Arabidopsis thaliana: one gene and its partner. The protein of the gene in region 2 purifies or fractionates together with the protein of the main gene of each other region. This does not show direct contact. Each region holds a gene or a part of one and is shown on either strand. Other genes may lie near its edges.

What was found.
Region 1: the proteins of MOS4 (region 2) and RCY1 purify together in Arabidopsis thaliana (affinity purification with western blotting, with the first as the bait; one study listed by BioGRID). This does not show direct contact.

Annotation. Positions count from the first base shown.
Region 1 is NC_003071.7:11,242,570-11,247,650, reverse strand, and holds RCY1 (arginine-rich cyclin 1), read left to right. Parts: upstream 1-1,592; 5' UTR 1,593-1,715; intron 1,716-2,122; 5' UTR 2,123-2,146; coding exon 2,147-2,298; exon of another isoform or gene 2,299-2,382; coding exon 2,383-2,464; intron 2,465-2,585; coding exon 2,586-2,726; intron 2,727-2,857; coding exon 2,858-3,027; intron 3,028-3,249; coding exon 3,250-3,523; coding exon of another isoform or gene 3,524-3,528; intron 3,529-3,786; coding exon 3,787-4,218; 3' UTR 4,219-4,523; downstream 4,524-5,081. Other genes in the region: AT2G26440 (Plant invertase/pectin methylesterase inhibitor superfamily), read right to left, coding at 1-244. UniProt on the Arabidopsis thaliana protein: Cognate cyclin for CDKG1. Required for synapsis and male meiosis, and for the proper splicing of specific resistance (R) genes. Involved in regulation of DNA methylation and transcriptional silencing.
Region 2 is NC_003074.8:6,221,293-6,225,941, forward strand, and holds MOS4 (modifier of snc1,4), read left to right. Parts: upstream 1-1,832; 5' UTR 1,833-1,955; coding exon 1,956-2,195; intron 2,196-2,628; coding exon 2,629-2,807; intron 2,808-2,900; coding exon 2,901-2,984; intron 2,985-3,340; coding exon 3,341-3,410; intron 3,411-3,505; coding exon 3,506-3,639; intron 3,640-3,729; coding exon 3,730-3,784; 3' UTR 3,785-4,111; downstream 4,112-4,649. Other genes in the region: PEX3-1 (peroxin 3-1), read left to right, coding at 44-234, 332-462, 751-878, 1,034-1,240, 1,388-1,631. UniProt on the Arabidopsis thaliana protein: Component of the MAC complex that probably regulates defense responses through transcriptional control and thereby is essential for plant innate immunity. Involved in mRNA splicing.

The sequences.
Region 1 (5,081 bases), on a different chromosome or scaffold from region 2:
CAGCCTCGGAAAGAGCTGTTTGGAGGGTTTGGAGGAGGAAAGAGAGAATGTTGGGGCTTATGTTGATGGAGATGGATAGTTTTAAGGAGGTAAAACATGCATCTGGATATGGTGTGTTTTTGCAGAAACTTGTAGCAGAAGTTTCATGAGGGTTTAGAGAAGGTTGATACGAATACGAGAAAACGGAAGGAGTGAAGAAGAGGAGGAATAATAGAGAAGAGAGATTGAAAGAGGAGAGCGCCATTTGAGAAGAAAATGTTGAAGGCTTGGAGCAAGTAGAGAAGAGACTGCTATGTTTTTAAAAGTACAAAGGAATGGGTTTACTTAATGTTTTGTTTAGTCTTCGTTAGACGACAAAACAAATATCTTTTTTGGTTGAATATTCGATCGATCGTGTTTAAGTAAATATAGTATATAGAGAAAACGATGTCTCTGATTGTTGTTTAATTTGGATTTTGATTTTGTTAGTAATAAGATCACATTCACATCGGTTACTATTTTAATAAGATCTGTAAGATTGAAACAATCTCTCTTTTAACGATAACTACGAGGAACCATAACGTTTCAGGCAATGGTTTTAGACTTTTAGACCCAACCCAGTCACAATTGTATATTTTGATCATACGACACTTGGTCCTATCCAGTCCCGGCTCAATTCATTATGGGACCTATTGCAAAACTCAAAATAAAATAAAATTTCTTAGTAAAATTTTTTTTTGGAAAAATTGGGGCTTTTTAGTCTTAACAATTTTTTTGAAATTGATTAGTAACGGCATTTGCCTACGATGTGAAATATAAGTTTGATACATAAATAAAGTAATGATTGATTCTTGAATTGCTTTTTGTACTTCTAGATCAGTATTGATTACTTTATTTACGAGAAAATAGTTCATTTAAGCACATTTATAGAAAAATGTTAAGTAATGTTAAATAGGATAGTCCGATTAAACCTATTAATTATGCAAATTTTCTTTCAAATAAATAGGTACCCATAAAAGGCCATTTTAATTTCTAACTTAACTACAAATGACATCGTTTATGTGTAGAGTTTGAGATTTCACATTAAAATTCTGATTTCAAACAAACTCTTTCTTCTTCACTATAGTGTCTCGATTTCGATCTTATCTTCTTTCGAACTTCGACGAATCTCGAAATTTGATATGAATTTTGAGTACCTTTACTGTAATTTTGTGTTTTATTTCTGGATTTGGTAGTTCGAATCTAAGAGCATACAAAAATTATGGGCTGCATTTGTAACTTTTGATTTGAATATATTTTGCGGGTCTAGCAATCAAATATTTTATTTTCCAAATTGAAAATTATAAATTTGTCGTGTTGTCTCCCTGAATGTTGGCAACACATTTTAAAATTTAGATGCATGATCCATCAGAACTTTTTATCGAAATTTTTAATTTTAGATTATTTAACATCTATGGAAGGAGCAGAGACATCACCACAGTTCAAACAATCGATCTCTTAATTAGTTAATTACATGTATCATCGAATCCTAAAAACATTTTTCTTCCTTCCTAAGCCCAATAAGGGCCTAGTTAGAGTAGGCCCAATTATTTTATTTTCTTCCTTTTTGCTAATTTCTCTTCTTTTTTTTCCCTCACTTCTCCAACAAACTCGATTTCCCGATTTCGTCGCCTCTTCTCGTCTCTCCGCTCTCCTCGCCGCGAGTCTGTTTCGCCGCCGTCTATCTCCCAATTCCGGTACATCCTAAACCATTTCCCCTTTTAATCCAACCTGTGTTGATTTCTAATCGCGATTAATCTCAGTTAGGTTTAATTGCTTGATCTCAGTTGAAATTAGGGCGTAATCTCATTACTAAATGTAGCAAAAATCGACAATATAGTCTCGTCTCTCTGTTATAGCAATCAATTTGTGAGATTCTGAATTTTGGCAGAATCCTAATTCTGAAGTTTGGCTAATATAGAACCTGTAATTGTGTTTTTTCATTTATGAGATGTTTTATTAACTTTGTTAGTCACAAATTGATTTCATGTGTATAATGTTCATTATTTCGATTTTGTTCTCGTATGCGATATTACGTTCTTGGCTGTGATATCTGAAGTAAAGCTGTTGTAATCTAAGTTTTTCTTCTCTTGATTTTAAACAGTGACCGTTGTTGTTTAGTGAATCGATGATTTACACTGCTATCGACAATTTTTACCTATCCGACGAGCAGCTGAAGGCTTCACCTTCGAGGAAAGATGGGATAGATGAAACAACTGAAATCTCTCTTAGAATCTATGGATGTGATCTCATCCAAGAGGGTGGAATATTGCTCAAACTGTATCCTTTTTCTTGGTCTAATTATTAAGCAAGACTCAAATGTTACGTAGCTGTGATTTTCTTAACTTAGATTGTTTATTTTAGACCACAGGCAGTTATGGCTACTGGGCAGGTTCTGTTTCAGCGATTCTATTGCAAGAAGTCTTTGGCTAAATTTGATGTCAAGGTAAATTATTTTGTTTCTTTCTTCTAGTTTTGTGTGTTTATGAAAGTATGATAATTCTTTAGGAGTGTATATACTCCTGCCTATGACCATAATGATTTGATATGTAGTTTAATTTTTACAGATAGTTGCTGCCAGCTGTGTATGGCTTGCATCAAAACTGGAAGAAAACCCTAAAAAAGCTAGACAGGTCATCATCGTATTCCACAGGATGGAGTGTCGCAGGGAGAACTTGCCATTAGAACATCTGGATATGTATGCCAAGGTTAGTTTGCAATTGCATTTGTCATATTGAATGTTTTTTTTCGTATATTTTGTTTCTACTCATGGGATAGCTTTATTTGGAAGTACTTTTATGGGATCTCATCTTTTTTCCTACTTGTTAAATATCTGCAGAAGTTCTCTGAGTTGAAAGTTGAATTAAGCAGAACTGAGAGACATATACTGAAAGAGATGGGTTTTGTTTGTCATGTTGAACATCCTCACAAGTTCATATCAAACTACCTTGCCACATTAGAAACACCTCCAGAATTGAGGCAAGAAGCTTGGAATTTGGCCAATGATAGGTAATCTCTATTCTCAAAATCCTAATATGGATATTATTTCATATGATTTCCTAATAGTTAGCTACACATCATAGTGTTGATAGGTTTTAGAGTTGATGTTTATCCTGAAGCTTGGCATTTCTCCTGTTCTAGTTTGATTTTGAGTATGTTTGTTATACTTTCTCAATATCTGATAATTCCTTTATGATTTTATCTTAATCTCATGATATGTCTATAATGCAGTCTGCGTACAACCCTCTGTGTAAGGTTCAGAAGTGAGGTTGTGGCTTGTGGGGTAGTGTATGCTGCTGCCCGTAGGTTTCAAGTACCACTCCCTGAGAATCCGCCGTGGTGGAAAGCATTTGATGCAGATAAATCTAGTATTGACGAAGTGTGTAGAGTTCTTGCTCATTTATACAGTCTTCCAAAGGCTCAGTATATCTCTGTTTGCAAGGATGGGAAGCCATTTACATTTTCTAGCAGATCCGGGAATTCTCAAGGTCAATCAGCGACAAAGGTGAGGTAGATCGCTTTCTTGGTTTTGTAATTTTTGTGAAAACATGAGATTATTGTCCATATTACTGCTATTATAGACTCTTAAAGTTGAGTGCGTTTCTTACACAGTAGTAAACAGAGTTTCTACCACCACATTGCATGTTATATAGTATTGAAAAAGGGCTGTCTACTTTATTATTTCGGCTTGGGAAAATCTGCAATCCAAGTGCATTTTCTATGTCTGTAATCAGAGCTAGGTTTGAAGTGCTTTTAACACTGTTACAGGATCTGTTGCCGGGAGCAGGCGAGGCTGTTGATACTAAATGTACTGCAGGATCAGCTAATAACGACTTGAAGGATGGAATGGTTACTACACCACACGAAAAGGCTACAGATTCCAAGAAAAGTGGTACCGAGTCAAACTCTCAGCCAATTGTAGGAGACTCAAGCTATGAAAGAAGTAAAGTAGGAGATAGAGAAAGAGAGAGTGATAGAGAGAAGGAACGAGGTAGAGAGAGGGACAGGGGTAGGTCTCACAGAGGCAGAGATTCTGACAGAGACAGTGATAGGGAGAGAGACAAACTCAAAGATCGAAGTCATCATCGGTCAAGAGACAGATTGAAGGATTCAGGTGGACATTCAGATAAATCAAGGCATCATTCTTCTCGGGACCGTGACTACCGCGACTCATCGAAAGACCGTCGTAGGCACCATTAAGCCAATCTTCTTGTCATCTACATCCCCTTGAGCCTACTTGATGTTAAGACAGTATAGTGTTGTATTGTGTTAAGAGTCAAAACCCATGTGTACTTAATCACATGCTAAGATCACGTTGGTTCGACATATAAAATCGAGAAAGTCTGATATGTTTCTAATTTGGAATTTTGTGAAAAGTGCCTTAAACTTTGGAAAAGTGGTTTTTTGACTTTTGACTTGTGAGTTGTTGTGACCGAGCAGAGAGGAGAATAATAGTATCCAAATCTGACTTGTGGCACATGATGGTAGGCTTAAAGCACGTTCAAAAGCATTTTTTATATCATTACTTACTTGTCTATTAGCTCCACCTATAACTATCGCATATTCTTAATACCGATATCGAACCATGAACTAGATCTTCTAGCTAAACACCTACATTATTAATGGTTTATAAAATTAGTATAAAGATTGATGATGATCAAGGCCAGCACGTAGTCTTGTTGCCGGCTACATAAATAATCAAAACAAATAGCTAATACGCATCTAACGGATACATTTTCATCGTTGAATTGTCGATTTTATCTCCTTCGAAAAAGAGTTTCGCCAATCCTAACATTCTGATAAATCTTTCATTCGACCATACTCTGTTTTCAAGATTTTCATCAAGTTTATGAATTTGGGTCTTCACTTCTATCATCACACTATCTTATTTTCTGAACTCCTTTGTCATGGCGGTTGACCATACATCAATTTCACTTCTATTACTCAGGTAAAAAACAATTTGTTTGTTTTCTGAGAATTTTGATGTGTTGATTCTCATGCATTACTTCTTGATATGGGTTCTTGAATAGTCCATTTGATCATTTCTTTTCTCAGTCAACGAA
Region 2 (4,649 bases):
TTCTAGTCCTTATTGGTTTTGTTCTCTCTATGCTCTATGTTAGAATGAAGGCACATTTCGATAACATTCAGATGATTGCTGATACTACTACATTGCCTCACGCAATTCATCACTTGAGTAGTCGTGTAGTTGAAGAGATTGATGTCTCGAGTATTATGGATAAGCTAAGCAAAGGCAAAGGAATATTGATTCCTTCTGAGAAGCTTCAACTCTGGAATGAGCTCAAAATTTTGAGTGCGTTGTTGTTCCCTTACTTGTACTTCTCGTGCTCTGTGGCAACATTGGATCTTCTCATTAATCAATCTTTTTAAATGTGTTTCCTTGTGTTCAGGTTTCACGAGAATGGTCTTGTCCCTTTGGTCGGTCACTATGCTTAGTTTGTACATTAGGGTTCAAGTCAATATTTTGGGCAGACATTTATATATCGACACTGCTAGAGGTCTTGGGAGCTCCCATTTACTTGTAAGACATTTTACTTTTCTCTTTTTATTGTCTTAAGAATCATTGTTAAGCTACTTCTAGCAAATTGGTCATTCTGATAAAATTTTGTGTACTTTCATTCTACTTGTTGCATTGTATCTTGAGATATCAAAATTTCAAATTGAGATTTCAAGGGGTAGAAGTTGATATTTTGCATCTTTTCCTTTCAAAATTATCGAAATTAGTGTATTCATTGGTCTTAGATATAACTCTTGGCTGGATTACCACAATCTTTACCAACGTCATTTCCTTGATATGTTTTTTTCTCAGGACGAACTAGATCTCATAGAGAGAGATGATGAACAAAAGTTTTTGACAAGCGCTGATTTTCTTGCGACCAGTGGCATGCCGAGTTTGATTTCTAACATGCAGAACGCAGTGAAAGAAGTTCTCAAGGGGTAATTTACATTACAAACCTACTTATCAAAGATGTCTCCCTTGTTTCTCATCCTTGAAGATTGATTTTATGGTGCCTCAAACTCAAATGCCTATGAAGAATCACTATACTTTTATGAACGTATAGCGAAATCTAACTATGTGTGTTTAATTGCAGAAAGCAGTTAAAGGATGTGTTAACCACAAGTGCTCTTCGAGAAACTGTGATGCGGATTCTCGATGTGTTTATGAGCACAGGAAGTCCACACCACTGGGTAGATTATCTAATGATGTCCCAAGACGCAACCACTGATGTTTCCTCTTCTGATGCAACTGTTACCAAGTTTCATCTACTCATAACCGAGACACGGGAAGTACTCACAAGGTAAAAAAAATCTCTGCTCTTTAACCCGCAAAAGACGAACAATTTCACTTCTTTAAAGCCTTGTCCTCGTTTCTGCTTCAATGCTCAAAGCAAGAATGTTGCAATGTAGCCTGTTAAACATTTCTTGGTCTTGTTTTCATGTTGCAGCAATGATTTTTCAAATGTAGCAGAGATCTCACTCAAGTGTTGTGCCGTTGCGTTAGTAGAGGAGATGGAAACGCAGACCGGTCTGGCCACAGGGATGCAATTGGCAAAGCTATTACCACAGATTGAGAAAACCATGCCGGAGATTTCAGCTGAGCCGGAGAAGAACCGGTTCTTGCAACTCATCCGAGATTTGCCTGAAGTTAAACTCTTTTTTACTCTTTTATACGCAAATATGCCTCAGTAGCATTATTAAACCCCATTGCCAAAAATTGTTTCCTGATCACTTTTTATCATATGTTTCGATTTACTTCAAAATAGTAAAACCAAACATCTCTAGAATAATTGTTCAATATCTATATCAAATCATTTACTAATATAGTAATATTGCAGCAACAAAAAAGGACACCGTGTATTACATATCTTTCAGTTTTTAGGGCCCTAGAAGCCCAAGGCCCAATAAAACCGGGTCGGTGATATTAACTTCTTCTTTTTTATTAACTTGGGTCTCTCCATCTTTCTCAGTTCTCACTATCTGGACACTTTCGATTTCTGAAGTTGAGAGACGACTATGGCGACGAACAATGGTGATGTCTTGATGTTGGAGGCGACGCCGGAGGCTGCGAGGCCCTGGGCTAGTGCGGCGAATGCAGAAGTTATCGATGCGCTTCCTTATATAGACGACGACTATGGCAATCCATTGATTAAGTCGGAGGTAGACCGTTTGGTGGAGGAAGAGATGCGTCGGAGCTCTAAGAAGCCAGCTGACTTTCTAAAGGACTTGCCTCCTCTTCCGAAGTTCGATTTTAAGGTGAATTTCACTGTGAATCCTTTTATCGATTTGTTTGTTCGTTTCTCTAGCTAGGGTTTGGAAATTTTGTTGGATTAGGGTTTAAAGGGAATTTGGTGAATTCCAATCTTTTGGTTTCTGGGTTTTACTTCATCTTGGACTTTATAGGAGTGAGTGTTGATTTTGGGTTTGTTATGATAGGGTTCTTGTTCTCTTCTTCTATTCGTTTTCTTAACGGAGAGAAAAGAGGAGCATAGTGTTTAGTGATTTATCTAAGGTTCAATTAATTTTAGTTTAAGGGTTCAGAATCAACTAGAATCTTAAGATTGAATGGAATCCTCATGAGCAACTGGTCTTGGTAGTAGAAGTTTTATGATCTTGTAGCTAGTTTTATGATTTAGGTCTAAAGGTATTGATTGATTTGTCGCTTTTGTTTTGTTGAAAACGAATGTAGAACTGCCCTGTTCTTGGCAAAGAGTATGAGCGTGTTAGAGCTGGGAAGCCTCCTGTGCGGATAGATTTCGAATCCCGATACAAACTTGAAATGCCACCTGCCAATAAGAGGAATGATGATGCTGCCTGGAAGCAGTATCTTCAGAAGAATCAACGGTCATTGCAACAGAAGCTGATTGAGTAAGCAAAGTTTCTGATTTTTTCTAATACATGATTCTCTTCTGTATATACTGGGTTTTCCTGTTTTAAAACGTGGATTTTTTTCATTCACAGGCTTGAGAATTTGGAATTGATGTCAAAACTTGGCCCCGAGCTTTGGAGACAGAACAACCATCGCCTTGAAGTATTTTTGACCAGGTTTGTTCACATTTGTATATACTGCAGCATTGATTGAATTTGAATGAGTAAAAGGGTTTAAGCTTTTTGGTTGATGGATTGTATATATCCTAGATGATCTGCTGAAGCATTATTGATATATATGTTGTCCCTCTTGCTTGCATAATATGCTTCTTTGGCTGTAGTACACGAGATTTGCCTTTCGTTATTCTTCATGTGCTTTCTGCTTGAAAGTTTCTTTGTTTCCTTTAAACATAAGAAAGGTCTTCGTGAGCTTGTAACATGTCATTCTTTATAAAACTGTACCCAGTCTCTGGCTTTTGGAACTTAACCACAGTGAGATTGATTTCAACCCTCTATTTGAACCCTATTTGCAGAATGCAAAGACTAGCACAGGAGCAGAATGAGGAAATTGAAAAAGTAAATCGGGAAAGGAAGTATCATCAGGTGACAACTCTTTTGAATTATCTTCATCTTCTTCCTTGCACTTTTCTGTTTGGTTTACGGGGTAATCTAAAACTTTGTTGTGTGGCCATTATCAGCAAACCACATCATACGAGCTCAATGCTCTATCTCAAGAATGGAGACAGCTCTGTGTTAAGAATATGGAGATTCAGTCTGCTTGTGCCATGCTTGAGACACAGATCGATTCGTTCAAGAAAGAAGCTGCTGAAAGGTGAGGAAAATGTTGTCTTACTTCTTTATATCACTCGTAAGAGTTGAATTTTAAGCGTAAAACTGAAACTCGTGGGGTTGTGTGTTTCAGGGGTTGGAACTTAGAAGAGAAACTAGAGAACGTCGAGCCACTTCAAATGCAATGAGGCGCCTCCCTTGCTCTTAAGTAACATAGGTTCAGAGCAAAACAACTGTTGGTCAGTTTGGTTTGAGTTGTGGGTTAAGAGAATCAAAGACGAGACAGTTTCAGTTATTTGCCAGTTTTGTGAAATCCTCTGCTCTCCTGTCAAGTGGTGTGTGGGACAAGTAATTGCTTTTGAAAGTATCGAAACTCTTTAATTTATCGAGCATAACGTTTACGATTTGAAATACAATATAAATTTTTGTATTTAGAAACATATATTCTCTCTCTATATTAAGATGTTGCATCCCTTATTCTCCTATAATCAGAATGCAGAAAAGCTCCTCCGTCCATTTTTTTCTTCTTGGATAGATTCAAACCAATATAATATGGTTCTTCCATGATATTACTTCTTGTGGTTTCGTGTGGTACAAATTGAATTTTCTACTCAAATTTGAATATATCCATGCATAATGCATAATGCATTGTATTGTAAATGATCCTTGAGCTTCCCTTTGTTTAATGTTAATTAGACGCACAAAAAAATGTATAGATAAAAGTTAAAGTGACGGAGCCATTGCTCATAAACATTATTTTTCTTAATCTTATACCAATTTTCACAAAACATAAAAATTATGCATTTCCTACCGACTACCAATCCTTTAAATAAATATATTTGTATATACGTATTTGACATAATTTTCAATTTAAATATTACAATTAAACCAAAAAAAAAAATCACATATTGGAAGGTGCACACGTACGTCGTCATGCGACCCACCAACGAGGCTATAAGACACGGAACTCGTTAGAATGTCTCTTTCCTACTTAACAACCTTCTTATATTGCCTTTTAACAAAGAAAAAAAATCCTTCCTATATTGCTATTAT